2 linked regions of the Astyanax mexicanus genome follow. The protein of the gene in region 1 interacts with the protein of each later gene in a pairwise test. Links are inferred from orthologs where the notes say so. Each region holds a gene or a part of one and is shown on either strand. Other genes may lie near its edges.

Region 1 (7,807 bases):
GAATGCCAATAATTCCAATATGTTTAAAGCAACATTACAAGTAGACTGGCTCTGTATGGCTCATTGATATCACATTTTGCTCACAAGAATGATGACTCACTGATCATCAAACTGAATTTATTAGATAATAAATAATCTTGAATTGACACATAGAAACAGAATATATTTGCTTCTTGGCATGGTATTATTATGCCAGTGTGTGACTGCCTTTGGAATACAGATATAATGTAATCACCCTGGGTTAAAAAAAAACTGTTTAAAATGTTTCTCTAAAGGAATCAAACCAAAAGGCTTTTCTGATTGGTTGTGGCTCCTACCTTGTGCCATACAGTCTGCATGGTATGCCTAAAATCCATCTCCTCATTACCCTCAACAACCTGAAACCTGCATGAACATGGAGTACAGCTGATCATAGCTTCTCTGTAGAGAGGAATCAGAATATCAGCTAAGCTAATAAACATCACATCAAGCAATCCTGACTATGATGTGAGCTTTAGTCTCCCATGTATCATCCTTCACCCAGACCTTCATGCGGCCTGGTGGCAGTGTTCTGTCTGAAAGTATCTACCATTATTTCCTTTTAGACATGTATGCAGTTCAGTTCAGCAGGGTTGCAAAGAGTCCAGCCAGTTAAGCACATCCTGAAGGCCTTCACCAGAGCGAGCACTGAGCTCCAAAGTTGTGATTGACTGAGGGGCAGAAGCAATGATGTCATCCATCCTGAAAAGTGATTTCATTTCCCCTAGAGTCATGGTGCATGGAAGGTCCCTAGAAGAACACAGACATAAAAAAACAATCCAGGATAATCCAGAATGTTAGGAGAACACAAACAGTAGTTTACTTCAGAAGCACAACCGTTATAAACCCTGTGGTAGGTACAGAAGTCTTCCAACCTCTTATTAAACAGCACGAGCACAGATGCCGTCTGAAGTGGCTCTGCGGCGAGCACGGACAGCAGCTGGACACAGGATGAAGAAATCTGTGTGATGTTGGCAGAGTCCACCATAAACTGAAGAAGACATCACCATATTATTGCAGCACAATATTATTTCTACAAATGACATTAGGAATGTTTGAATGGCAAGGATTTTAGTACATGTTTTTCAATATGCAAGCAATAAAGATAATTGCACAGCATCTCAAAACTGCTTTTTACTGTCCGAAGTTAATAAATGATTAATCCTAATTTTGCTGTACAATATAAAATGTCTCATTCTATAATGGAAAGGTAACTTGTGTGATTATAGTACTGTATAATCTGTAGTAATATCATGTTTTCTCAAAACTCACAATAACAGAGTAGCAGTCTACGAAGTAGCTCGGCCAGATGGGGCCCATGCAGCCTCCTAACTCTCTGACTGTCACCCTCTTCTTCCTCAGCGTCAGGTCTGTGAGGTTTGTACCCACCTGTGCAGAAAAAAAAAACATTAAATTAATACTTGCTTATAAACAAGATCAAGTAAGATAAAAAAATAAAATCTACATTTAATGAAGAGTCATAATGTGGTGGTGTAACCACAACAAGCACAAATGCACTAACGCCAGGTGCCACATACAGAAAATTAAGTAAAGATTTTAGTTTTTTGCTAAAATTCAAATTGTGGGGCAAAAAATAAACCAAAAAATGGATGACAACCTGTTTCTTATGTACCACACTAAATGGAAAATGAACATAATGAGATTTTGCACATAATTTATGAGAAATTCAGAAAAAGATTTTTTCTGACATTCTGATTGAAGGGCAAAATAAAAAAAACTGTAAAATGAATGAAAGCCAATTTATTCTTCAGTATACCACAACAAATGATGCCAGGCACAACATATACACTGAAATTCAGCGGTTTGTCCTCTTTTTTTTTGTTTACTTTTTGATACTTTGATAATTAAATCTGAACATTTCAGATCATTTTCCGGTCCATTTCAGATCCAGATACGTTTTCATGTTCTTTGTTTTGGAGAATTTGATTTAAAAATCAAGGTCAGATTTATGCAGAAATAAGGTCAATTCTATTCACAAACTCACAAACCTTTAAACACCACTGTATATATGTATTTATCAAAGTGACAGCGTATAGTGAACACATCAGTTAAATTTGAAATAGACTAAATGATATCTGATTCGTAAATTTAATTTTAATAGTACAGTCAGTGTAACATGAATATCATTACATGTCTTAAACAACATGTGTAAAACTTATTGTTTTCATCTATTATAATTTCTGTCCCACAATCTGAATTTCAGGAAAGATTTTTTTCAGTTTTCTTAATTTTCAATTTTCATCTTGTAAACTTGAATTATACCATCAAATGTTTGTTAAAAGAAGCAAAAATTTAAAATATTGGGAAAATAAAAACCCATTTCCAATTTACACTGACTTAGTAAACCATACTCTGTCTTTTTAACGTTATCTATATCTAGTTAAGTATCAATAATAATATATTACAGCTCACCGTTGGCAGTGTAACCGGTGGTTCACCTAAATCTGTCCCGTCCCGCTGGCACAGCTGTAAGTTACTCTCAGATAAAGAAAATCACCCTAGATTAAAGTTAGGTTTAATTAACCAGGTAAAAACTGAAAGAAACAATGTTGTATGCAGCTAAATAACACAGATATTGTATTTACACTCCACCAGCCAACCAAGCTAAATAAACCACCGCTGGGATAACCAGCATCCTTTACTGTAACTTAAACCGAGCTAACCAATGTTAGCTTAGCTAACCGCAGTTCGCCTTTAAAAGGATATTCTGTAGTCTTTTCAGGAGCAGCGTCTTTCCGACGCCGGTTGCTCCCAGTAATAAACACATAACTGATCTAATGAAGCTAGCTATATGTGTTTATACGTTTATAAAACCAACGAGGAACCATTTGAGTACAATAATACATAAATAACGTTAGCTAGAAAGCTATCTAGCTACACCAGAAACCCGGTTACCAAGACGACGTAGGCTTAATCCGCCTTCAAAATAAAAGTATCTAACCTGCGTGCTACGACTAGAATAACAGCTATAATAAACGCTAGTTTACTATTAGTAGAAATTCTAAATTATACGCAGCGAGTGTTATATATATATATATACATTTTATTATATAAAAAACATTCAATATCCATTTTCAATCTTGCCACGCCTACCTATTATTTGAGTTGTAGTATTTGTTGATATAATATATGTTAATTTAGGTCTGAATTTTCTTCACAATAATAATAATAAAATTATAATAATAATAAAATATAATAATAATAATAATAATAATAATAAAAATAATAATAGTGATAATAATAATAATAATAAAATGTAATAATAGTGATAATAATAAAACAAGCGTCATTGTTTGCAGTTTTTAGAACAACAAAGCAACAGTTTTTAAAAAGAATTCAGACAAGAAATTAGTAACAGTAATAAAATGCACAAATATGATAACAAAACCATTATATTGTGCATTGCTTAGTTGAACAACATATGTAAAATATTTAGTTTGCTGTGTTGTAAGCATGCTGGTCCTCTGCCAGGCAGCGGTGCTGTTGTCTTCTTCTAGGCCCCTGGTCCCTCATGTTTCTTTGTGTTGGCAGTATGATGGACCTATATATGTAACAGGGAGAGCCAAGGTCCATCCGGCCAAACCCCCTAGTTGAGAGGCAGAATGGAGTAAATTAAACTATACTCTCAACAGTTAATATTGACATGCAAAAACCTTCCATCTCCAACAGACCAGGGGTGCGTTTCCCGAGAGCAAATGATTTTAGTGATATACGAACAACAGAACTTTGAGAAAAACAATTTTATGTCTGTTTCCCAAAAGCCTTCTTAGTCTCCAAAGTTACAAACGATTGTTTAGCACTTCTTTGTTGGCTCCGCCTGGAAAAAAAACACCATCAGTCATAAATCTGAATCACTGATTTACATTTCTCAATATTATACCACATAGATATCACTAGGCTGATGTTTGTTATAAATATTTAATAAATTAATAATTTAATATCTCTGATCATCTCAGACACTTCAATCAAGGTAAACTACGGATTTCATTTGAATTCATTTATTTAGCGCAAAGCTTATTATATTATATGGACAATAATGGACATATATGGACATGTTTTACATCCATTTTTTTTGTAAAATATCCACAGCACGACAAAAATAGCATAAAATATATATATTTTAAACCTTGCTAATACAAAGCGCAATATATAAGTATGTTTTGTCACTTCAAAATGAAAGCTATTTTTTATTAATGTAAATGCTCAAATGGCAAGTCTTCTAAATTTCTAGAACCTGCCTGAATGTAGTTCCTAATTACTTACGAGTGGGTCAAAGGTAAAACAACTAATCAGTAAGATGCTTAAATCTCGATCAATGTATTCAGCACTGAGAAAAAACTCAAAGAAATGTAATTCTAAAACGATCCTGAGTTTAACAAACACACGATTGGCACTCAAGGAAAGTTAATAAATGTCAAGTTAATAGCCAATACATCAACAAAAAAGCCTCAAGACACAATTTCAGCATCTACAATTTACCTGACGGCATGTGTTTGGACTGTGGTAAGAAATGGGACAGTGCAATCCAGCACTATATTGCTGTTTAAATAAATACCTAAATAAATAAATACAAAAATAAAAGCACTTCACTTCATTAATTTAATTCATATTAGGTGTGTGGGCGGGAGCAGGATTAAAACAAGCAATTTTTTTTGGCGGAAGCGGTCAGTCACAGGACTAAAACAAGCAGGAGCGGGCAGCAGCGAGTTGAAAAAAGCAGCTCTGCTCAGACCTCTATTTCACATGTCTCTGCTGACAACACCCATTGAGAACTCTAAATAACAGGTTGACTGATATAGTGCCTTCATGGCCTGAGCACAAAAACAAGCGCTCAGTTTCGAAAAGGATAAAATACCTCTTCACACATTTGTATGTGTTATTCTGAGCGTGTTGTGGTTGTGAAAATTAGCTGATCATAAGACTGGTTCTCATCTTCAAAGTCAAAGTCAAAGTCAAAGTGGTTTTTATTGTCATTTCAGCTATATACAGAGTATATTCAGATGTCATGTTCTGATGTTCAGCAGCTAATTTAGAAGTGTTTGAAGATATTAATTTTTCCCTTTTTTTGATGGAGAATTTTTTTATAAAAAAAATAAATTGATATGTTAACAGTGCCAGGACAGTGCTTGATTGGTAGAGGAGGGGTTTGAGGAGTGAGAAGATGCAGGTGATATCATAGGAACGCAATTACCAGATTTTAACATCAGTGAGTGCTTGTGGGACTTTTTCCACCACTGACGGAGGAGTGTTAACCGCAGTGAAGAACATGTGCAGTCCATTCTATGAAAATGTGGTCCTCTTGATTTAACTGCTGCATTTGATTCAATTAATCGTAGTGCGCTTTTAAAAAGTCTTAAAAACATAGTCAGTCTGGAACAAACTGGAACTAGTTTAAAATGTTTTTTTTTTTCACATATTTGGCTGGAAGGAAGTTTTTATTACTATTGGTTGAAGATTTTTCAGAAGAGAATAATATTCCATGTGGTGTACCACAAGGCTCTGTCCTTGGCCCACTCTTGTTCTCCTCATACATGCTGCCACTGGATCAGATTATTACTAATCATTATGCTGATGACACGCAGCTGTACATATCTGTCACATCAGATGGCGTGACTCTTCATTCATACCACATATTAATAAGATCATCGAGACTGTCCTTTGTGTTATTCAAGAAGTAACGCAGGAGCGAGATCCTATTTTCCTATTTTTAGTTAGATGATGCAGAGAAACTGATTCATGCATTTGTCTTTTGCAGTGCATTACTGACGGGACTTCCTTAATCTACTGTAAGCATATAATTACTACATTTTTAAAGAAATGATTTGCCTTTTGGAAATTAGGACATCCATTACTCATTTAACTCTTTACAGGAACAGAATTTCTGAGCAGGGGTGCCTAAACTTTTGCATGCTGCTGTATATACAGAGCAGACAGTCCAGAGACACTTGTGTAAATAGCAGGCGTCCGCCAGGGGAACAGGAACTATGTGCTATTGTTGCGAATGTGGAGTGAAGACACAACTAATGAGAGTTCTAAATGTGTGTGTGTGTGTGTGTGTGTGTGTGTTTCATAAAAGCAGAGAAAAAGATGGAAAAGTGAAGTGAAGGAGAGATGACTGTATTGGTCTTGTATTGAATGATTTTTTTAATTATTCTATGATTATAGTATTGTAGAGGTATTGCAAAATAAAAATGCGTGTGTGTGTATGTGTGTGTTACAGCATTACTCTGGTCAGCGCGCAGACAATTGCGTTTGAGGAAACAGAATGAGGCAAACCCTGACACGGGCAGAAAAACACAATAGACTTTTTTAAATCCATCAACACGCTTTCCTGAGTGTGTGTTTGTGTGTGTGTGTGTGTGTGTGTGTGTGTGTATGTGTGTGTGTACAGTAGATGTACATTACTGGTATAATGTAAAACACAATTGGTTATAATTATCACTGCTGTCACCTCAAAGCCATGTAACTTGTTTTTAACACTATTTGAAAACACCAGCTGTGCTTTATAATTATTGTGATTCATTCATATTAAATAATCCAGCAGAAACTGGATCATATGCATTCCCTGCATTTCTGTTTTATGTACTTTTCCCAATAAGCGCACATACGACATTTATATTTGTGTAGCCAAAGCATTTAGGGATAATCTGTACACAATTATTTTCTACGCTGTAGCCAGTTGTAATATACTGAATATAGTCTAGTGTAAACCTTTAGGACCAGGACCACTTTCCTAAGGATTAAGCCTAATCTTGGCCTACATAATATTTTGAATGGAGAGTTTTCATTAAAAAGAAAAACATAGTCTATTATTATGCCTTGTCCCTGACCATTTCTATGCCTATGTTTACATTAATAAGTTACAAAAAACACATCGGTTGCATCAAGCAAAGCAGTTTTAGAATTTAACAGGCTGTCAAAGAGCTGCTGTGCCTTTAAGACTGATATTCTGTTCTGATTGGCTGAACTAAAACACTTCTTGTAAATACAGCGTAAATTTTGGAAGCTGGACTTAGCTTTCTTGATGAGCAGCAGTTCTAGAGCTGTAAAATTACACTACATAACAACACAATTCTAAAATTCTGAGAAAATGTGTCTTTCTGTTAATGTGTATGGCTTCAGAGCTCTGGGGTGGCGCTACTGCCTAACTGCCTACTTGTCAGGAGGAAGGAGACTGCAATTAAACCCTGCATTAATGCATTCCTGCCGCACTTTATAGATGTACATATTAGGGCTGCCCGTTTAAGCATCGTCATCGCGATGTGCACATGTGCAGTAGTCACATTCGCAGGACATGCAATTACATCAAACACGCCATGTTGCAATGTTTTGATTCTTTGATTCTTTGACACAAGAAGTAGATACACAGCACTGTCTCTGTGTCTGTGTGAGTGACAGGCTGCTGCTGCCTGAGAAGTGGAAGAGGGAGGGGCAGGAGTAAACGCAAGGTAACTGCATGGCCTCCATCCACATGGTTAGGCACGTGCGTTAATCCCAAAAAACGCTTATTTACCTTTTAAAAAGCCATTAAAAGCCTTATTAAAGGGCCGATTACTGTTGTTTTGCTGTTTTCCTCGGGTTTTGAGTGCTCGGCACTGACTCAGCTCTTAATCGGTCCAGGCGCGAGACAGCACGTGGGTGGGGGCGGAGCTGTTGACGTCATGGGCCCTGCATTGTTTAATATCGCAATATATATATATATATATATATATTATCAAAAAAAGAACATTTGCAACATAACATTTTTCCAATATAGTGCAGCCCTTGT
Region 2 (7,779 bases), on another chromosome or scaffold:
AGGCAGGGCATGGGGAAAGCTGATTGGCTGAGCTGCAGCAGCAGCAGTGTGCCTCTGATGAGGCGCAAATGGTTGGACGTCAGCAGGGGGGGCGGTATTATTGATTGACTGATCTGCATATTGTATGTGTCTGCATACCAAAATACTCAGACACATCATCTACACCTATCACAGTTGAATCTGAGAGGGTGCTGCAGAGGCAGAAATTACCACAATAAAGGCATTTAAGCAGGACAGGTATGTTGCATTACTTCAAAGAAACACATTTTAGCTTTTAATGAAAAAATATGATTTAGGGTTTAGTGTCTCTTTAACCCTCCTCTCTTGCTGTTGTGAGGAAATTTAACATAATCTTTAATATTGAAAGAGCAATCCAAGAACCAAAAACAAATGTACATAAATAACACAGATTAGAACTCAGGTGATAAAGAGTGGGAGAGCTGTCCAAGAACGACTAATGGGGAGCATACAACAGTGACAAGATGTTAAGAACCAGAAGGTGTAATGGTACCCCCAGTGTGGCCAAGGAATGAAGACAACCTTGTGGACCACCACCCACTTTTCCAAAAGCATCTTAACTTGACCAACCAGAGCTGTTGTTGCACTGGACTGAAGATAGTGAAGTTATCAGGGATGATCTCTGGCTTGGACACAACTGTAACCAGTGAAAGGATAAGGCAGACAATGCCTGATGTGACCTCTAGGTCAGGGAGTGCGTTTCTAATGCTTACACAACCCTGGATGTAGGACATTCTTTGCAGGAAACCTGGATCCTTTCCAGCTCTGTTTCTTTAGACCAAAGCCCTTCCAGTTGACCATATATTATACCCCGTTCCTCCTGAAAGAGCATAGCCTCACCCAGTGGCACTGGGAAAAATAAATTGAAGAGAGAGGCTCAACTTTGTTTAGACATTTATTAGACACTTGAACTTGTATAGGAATATTAAGCTTATTATGTTAACTAACACTTTGAACAATCTTAATTGGACCAATAGTCTACTTCAGTCCAAAGTAAATATTATGCCCAATTATTGTTCATGACAACAATTTACATCAACAATTTATCTAGCACCTGATTTATTCTCCTGCACTGACTGTTTGATTAAGGGTGATATCAGAAGTTAGAGTGATCATAACACTTTTAAACAAAGCCATTTAAAGAATTAAGACCAGACATGACTATACAAACCTGTATATTAAGGACTACAATCAGATGCAATGCCTTCCCCGAAAAACACAATATAATTAAGAATACTTTCAGCAGTTGGAATAATGGAATAAATCTGTTAGAATTGCAGTGTATTCTTGCACAGGGGTAAATCAGTCTACTGCTACATGTAACAGAGATGAACCAGAGATGAATCAAGAGTTCCCCTGTATTAACTTACATTTCTCACCCTATATTGCATGATACAAGTACTATAAATGAAAAAAAGACACTACACAGTTGTTCTAAAGGTATTGATTGCGGCTCCAATGACCATAGCCTTCATTCACCAATTATCATTCAAAGAATTTAATATTTTGAGTTTATACCGTCAGAAATACTGTATTTTTACTAGAAATTTTCTGATTTAAGATTGTAGAAATGTACCCAGATCTGTCTGACATAACTGACTCTAACTAAAAATGCTATTTACACTTTTTATGCTTAATATTCTTTTAAACTAAATCTAGCAATGCCTAACCCAATATCTGGTACTTTATATTAGGATTACACAGAACTGGAGGTATGGAGTCTCTAGTGATATGATCTTATAGGATCACTTGTTTTTGTATTTCTTCTTCACTTGAACTCCCTAAATCTGGTTCCTGGTTCTTAAATCTCAAACAAAACTGTCTACGTTATCCAGTTTATGCCAATAAAGCAGCACTTTTTCCATTAATCTAATCTAATATGATCTAATAAAATGCATTTTTTCCACTTAGAAAAAATCATTGATAGGGCTTTTAATGAATCTCATTTCTTCTGTTTCTTAAGACAAATTGCCTTTTCACTGATTCTGTCCTGAGATCATAAAAAATCATCAAGCTTGTTTGGCTGCTTTTTGAGGTTTTTTGTAATGGTCTCTCTCTTGTAACAGCTGCTCTGACCACACACTGATAGACACGGTGCCAAACGGTATTTTCTACAGAACTTAGAATCGCATGTAGATGTACAAGGACAGCCTTTTTTTATTTTAACTGAGATACATTTTGTAAAACAAAAAAGAAATAATTTGTTTTAATAAAATGTTTTTTTTTGCTGAGAATGTGTTTTTGCACCCAGCATGCTCAAAAGTATCAAGGGCTTTATTATATCAAGGTCTCGTTCTCTTTTAGCTCACCAGCATTCTTTAATTTTAAATTTTAATGATGTGTGAATAAGCAGATAAAGACTAAGTTTGCTGTTCTGATATCTTCATGTTGGCAGTAGATCTCGAATCAATGTCATTAGCAGCACCGTTGTTACACAAGTAATCAGCAAAAGCTGTCATGGTAAGAATAAATTCTGGAAAGACCTACCAGAAGCTGTTTTAGAATAAATATGTTTGATTCCATTTATTAGAATATTTTGTCTCCTCTTTACTCAGGAAAACTTATTTTTTTAACAGTTAAGGTGTATAAAGTGTTATTTGGACAAGTACCATAGAATAAACCATGTAGTTCTTTAGAGCATCAATACATTTAATTGTCATTTTAAGGACAACTGTAAACCTTTTAATAAAGTTTAAATGTCACGGAAATGAAAAAAAAAAAGCTTTCAGAATCCCTTTAATAAGAGTAATTTAGAGTAATTTAATAAAACTATTTAGGACTCATTTATTTACTCAGCATAAACCTACAGATGAAAGAAAGTGAAGAGTGTTCTTCAGCACTGCTTTAGACATTTATTTATTCATGCATTTTTACCTTTCAGGTTCCTTTATAGTTCTCAGTTTACACACAGTTTTTATGCAAAGGAGCTTGTCTGCCCGTGTTAAATCAACACTGTAAGCATTAGAATTTGACTAGATAAATGTTAATTTAACACAACAGTGTTGATTTATCCCTGGCAAATCTGCTGTGTTTTATGTTCTCTGAACACTGTCAAGAACAAAAATGCAAGCTTAGTTCATCATGAAAACTTGAGAATGTGTTAATCAATGGATTTGTTGAATTAGGTGTGTTTTAAGCCGGATATCACCAACCTGTGCAAACTCCAGGCCTAATCAGCCCAGCTGCAGGGTGGGACAAATACATATTAAACAAATGTGTGTACTTGAATGTATATGTAATGAATACGTGTACGAAAAATGCAGTGACCCTGAGGTAGCCTGTAGTCTGCAGGCCCAAATTGACTAAATAAAAAAAAGTATTTATGTCTAAATAGTATTTTTTTTCTCTTGTAATGCAGCACCACTCCATGGACATAATCTATTATTACAGGTCTGCAGTATTTGACATAAATGTATACAAGAACTCAGCCCACATCAGTACAGCTGTAGATTTTCAGAAGTTCCTATTTTTAAACAAAATTGTGTTGTATTTGTGGAGTGACCTTTTTACCATTGTCATGACAGATCATTGATCCATCAGCAAATATTGTCTGAGTCAATAACTGTGACAGACAGATTGTTCAGTGTCACATTTATAAGCACACACTTTTGTGTTTACATAAATATTTGAGTCTTTGCATGTTTAATTTCAGTTAGGTCAGGTGACCGTGATGATTAGTTCTGGATCACAAACTCCACTCCATCTCATCCTAAAGATATTGGATGGGGAGCTCCAGCATGGTTCCACCGCTCAACATTCCAACAAAGGAAGGGATGAAGGTAGAAGGTTGTATAAGTTTAAGTGGGTCCTTTTAAGAAAATCCCCAAAAGATCCCAAAAATTTTGACTGTTAACATAAACAAAATCCAGCTTAAAACCAGCTGGTCATCAAGAGAAAAAACATAGACTATGCTGGTAGACTATCTCCTTGACTAGCATAACCAGGGTATGTATTTTTTAAGCTTTTTTTTTTTTTAGAAGGGTTTACTTTATTAACATTGACCACAAATGTCTTATGTTTGTGCATACCCTGATATTATACAACATTAAATAAAGGTTATTTTTATACATTTAATTTTTTTAAGGTTGATGATGGAAAAAAACAACCTTTATTTGACATTTCCCTATGTCCATCAGTTAATGCGGAAATTCTGACACTGATTCAACTTTCATTTAAAGGTTTTGAATGGTTGGAGCTCTGTATCTACATTTACTTTTAGGTGAAGTGTGCTTTACACAAATAATAATATTAATACTAAAATAATTATTATTTAAATGTGTCTTTTTATTGTGCAAGACCACAGTACTGATTATAGGAACAGAATACAAACAAGATACACATATGTAATGTAATTAAAATTTAATACAAACCATATATATAAAACCATAACATTTAGTCGAGATCTTTAGTCGTAAAATCGAGATTAACGTTGTTTCAGTGCATTAGCGATGGAAAGTTAACGCAAATTTAACGTTTGGTCGTATTCTGCTTCAGCCATCACTTCCAGACCCAGGCGAACTGTGTAACTGATAACACAGCTCCGCTTGATCCACTCGAGACGCCGTAGCTCGCATCCAAAGGACCTTTCTAGTTGCCATCGGTGACGCGTCCCTTGTCAACCAATCAAGCCCCGCCCCAAGTGCCGCATTCTTCATCCTGATTGGTCCGTTTGTGTAGTTTCGTCTGAGACGCGCACGGTAGTAGGGCGATTCTGCTGTCAATCAATCTCCGCCGAAAATCTATTTACAGTAGGCTGGAGGAGCAGCAGCCGAGGCGAATCTGTTCAGATTAAAAGCAGCGCTGTGTGTTGTAAAGTGTGGTATTCCGCTAGCCAGTTCACCTAATAACCAGGTTAACCCGCTACAGCGAGTCGAATATTTTAGCTAGTGGACTGCTGCTTTCTGTTCTGTTTTATTTTTTTTATTTTTCCATTCAGTGAATCGGACGATTTTCGGAACGATGTCTTCGGATGAAGACAGGGCGAAGGAGATCCTGAAGGGCTTTAAACTGTATCCTTTAAACTTGAGGCAACAGCGCCAGATTAGCCTTCAGCTTCCAGAATAACATTCAGTGACCAGATTAACACTGTTTAGCTAAACGTTTCATTTCGTTTAAGAAATGAAGCGTGTTTTCTTATCTAACGTTTTTTAGCCATAGAACCTAAGCTAGCTGGTTATAGCGATGCTTTTCCGTTAGCAGGATTAGAGAGCCGAGTAACTAACGTTTGCAAGGTAGCTGGCTAATAATTAGCTAGCGTTAGCAATCTTAGTTAACTAACTATAACTAACTGTATAGCTAGCCAAAATTTGTTTTTATATTTTTATTCTTAATCGGCAGCGAATAACCAGTGTTAATACTTAACCTATTATCACAGCCAATTTAAGCCTTTTTAATTTTGTAGTGTGCAGCTACTAATTTATTTTAAATATTGGTGATAGCTGTACATAATATTTTTTTAATTCTATAACCATTAGCTAACTTAGTTAACCTAGCTATCTGTTAAAGAAAGTGTGTTATAGCTAGTTAGCTAACTCATAATTTTAACAAACTTTATATTCTTTATTATGGCTTATTATTATATATTTTATTACTTTTTGTATTATTATTGTAATTGTATTTAAAACGAAAGTTTATGTCTTTGCAGCAGCATGCTAGCACACTAACTTATATTCTATGTAAGGCTAGCTAGCTTTACTGGCACCAGGTCTATTTTGCAGATAAGAGTACATTAGTTTGTTAGGCTGGCTAAACTAGGTTAGCTAACTAGTTTATCAGACTAGTAGTACCGGTGAGTAGTAGTACTGTTTGTATAAATTAGCTAACAGCTAGTTAGGTTAGCTAGCTAATGTATAACTTTCGTTACCAACTGATAAGTGCAATATATATAAAAGTACACTAGACGTCTTTTTTTTGTGGTTTACAAATTGCCCAGTTTCCTAACGTTACTGATTGATGTTACAGGGGGTGTTACGTGTGGTAACCTGGTAGTGAGGTGTTACAGTCAATCTTTAGCTTTTAGTAAACTGATAATTTGTTCTGTTTTGCGGGATATTTCCATATATGTCTGTAGGCGTGCAGAATGTCAGCTATAAATCACGTATTTAAATTGCTTTTGTTTTTTGAGCTAGGGCTACTTGGTCTGCATCTTTATTACACTACACTTCCTTCACAGTGTAATCTAAAATGTTGCTCAAATCTGATTTTTCACTAGTTTATTTAAATGCAGACATGTCTGACAGGCTCCAGACTGTGTAGCAGGTCATATTTAGGAAGATTTTAGGAGGTTGCTAGATGTTTGTGGGATCAAAGTGCATTAACTAGTGAAATGACCCCACTGTAAGAGTGTCTCTGCTGGCTACTTGGTTTACATAACGTTGCCTGCTGCTCCTAAAATTGGCTCAGTAAGTCCGACAAGAATAATCACACCTGCACAGCCTACCGCCATACTGTAGCCGTCACGAAGGGTAGGTTGGATTCATTTAACCTGTTGAAAGGGCCTGTAGAGGTATCCTGATGTGGCATTGTGTTTTTTTAGAGTCATTTGCTGATGTTGTAATTTGCAGTTGATTATGAGTGTGACCTTCTTTGGGAAGGTAAGGGTGTATCTTACAGGCTGGTAATTCTTAAATCCTTTATTTGCAAGGGCAGGGATTTGCCTTATGCTACTCGCATCCCTGCCTGTGCCGGGTGGTTCTCAAAGTCTCATTACAGTAATGGCTTTAAATCTTTCAAATATTTGCCTTACCTATAGACATATTTATAGAAGGCTAATTAATGTCATATTTGTGTAGGTTATAACTTAGTAATGGAAGCTTAATGAGCTTTAGATATCAAACCAGTCAAAGCCAGCAAGAATTCATACTAGTGTCAGGAGTCTTTTTGTTATTTTTTTGCTGTATTTAAATACCTACATGATTACTCTAAATGGTAATACATCTGTTTCTTAATTATTGTAAATTGCCAACACTGTAAAATGAATGTTAATGTATAATAATCAACTCTGCTGTAGCTACACTGCCTAAACGTAACACTGAATCCCCTTGTGGCTTTAAATGTGCTGTAAATTGTAAACAATTATCCCAATATCTAATATCTAAGTGGGCCTGTTTGTTTGGAATATTGTACTGTTTTGTATCTGTGATTCTCTGGCTGTGAGCCTCAGGGGTGAATGCAGTGCATAAAGTAGCCTCCCTTTGGAGAAGCACCAAAGCACACATGCTCATGAGGATATAAGTGCACACACCCCCAGAGCCAAGACCAGTGCTCACTGTGTAGAGACTTTTCCTTAATGTATCTTAAGTGTGTGAAAACATAGATATGTTAAAAACTAATATGTGGGAATTAGTATTCAGATGCAGATGGATACCATTCAAACTCCCTATTCAAACTTTTCTTTTTTGGTTTGATTTAGGTTAGAACATCTCACTGGAAACTGCCACTGAATGATCAGAGACAGTCTACTGACATTTAGAACGTTTTTTTAAGCTGGTACCTTATTTTTTTGCAAGGCCAACACCGAATTGCAAATGGCAGATTTGAAACAGTGGGTAACATTTTAAAAATGCATGTGACTTCCGTAAAAGCAGTGTAGCCTTGGGACTAATTAGCATGACTGTGTCATTGTTTGTGAGTTAAAGGGTTTCTCCCCTGCGACTCTCACTGTGCATCACTGGTATACACAGCTGGTGTGATCCTGAAGACACCTGTCACCACTAATCTCTAGTGCTATGGCCCAATCCATCATCAACGGACCCAGTTAGA

Evidence for each region. The genes of interacting proteins can lie anywhere in the genome.
Region 2: the proteins of arl16 (region 1) and pde6d interact in binary tests that used the Homo sapiens proteins (3 or more experiments, as listed by UniProt). The two-hybrid records come from large-scale screens. The link is inferred for Astyanax mexicanus from reciprocal best matches to the Homo sapiens genes ARL16 and PDE6D.

The regions. Positions count from the first base shown.
Region 1 is NC_064410.1:5,271,015-5,278,821, reverse strand, and holds the start of arl16 (ADP-ribosylation factor-like protein 16), read right to left. Parts: upstream 3,025-7,807; 5' UTR 2,807-3,024; coding exon 2,746-2,806; intron 2,508-2,745; coding exon 2,452-2,507; intron 1,408-2,451; coding exon 1,291-1,407; intron 1,010-1,290; coding exon 894-1,009; intron 769-893; coding exon 603-768; 3' UTR 1-602. UniProt on the Homo sapiens protein: May suppress the RNA sensing activity of RIGI in a GTP-dependent.
Region 2 is NC_064412.1:25,061,283-25,069,061, forward strand, and holds the start of pde6d (retinal rod rhodopsin-sensitive cGMP 3',5'-cyclic phosphodiesterase subunit delta), read left to right. Parts: upstream 1-4,755; 5' UTR 4,756-4,977; coding exon 4,978-5,027; intron 5,028-7,779. UniProt on the Homo sapiens protein: Promotes the release of prenylated target proteins from cellular membranes. Modulates the activity of prenylated or palmitoylated Ras family members by regulating their subcellular location.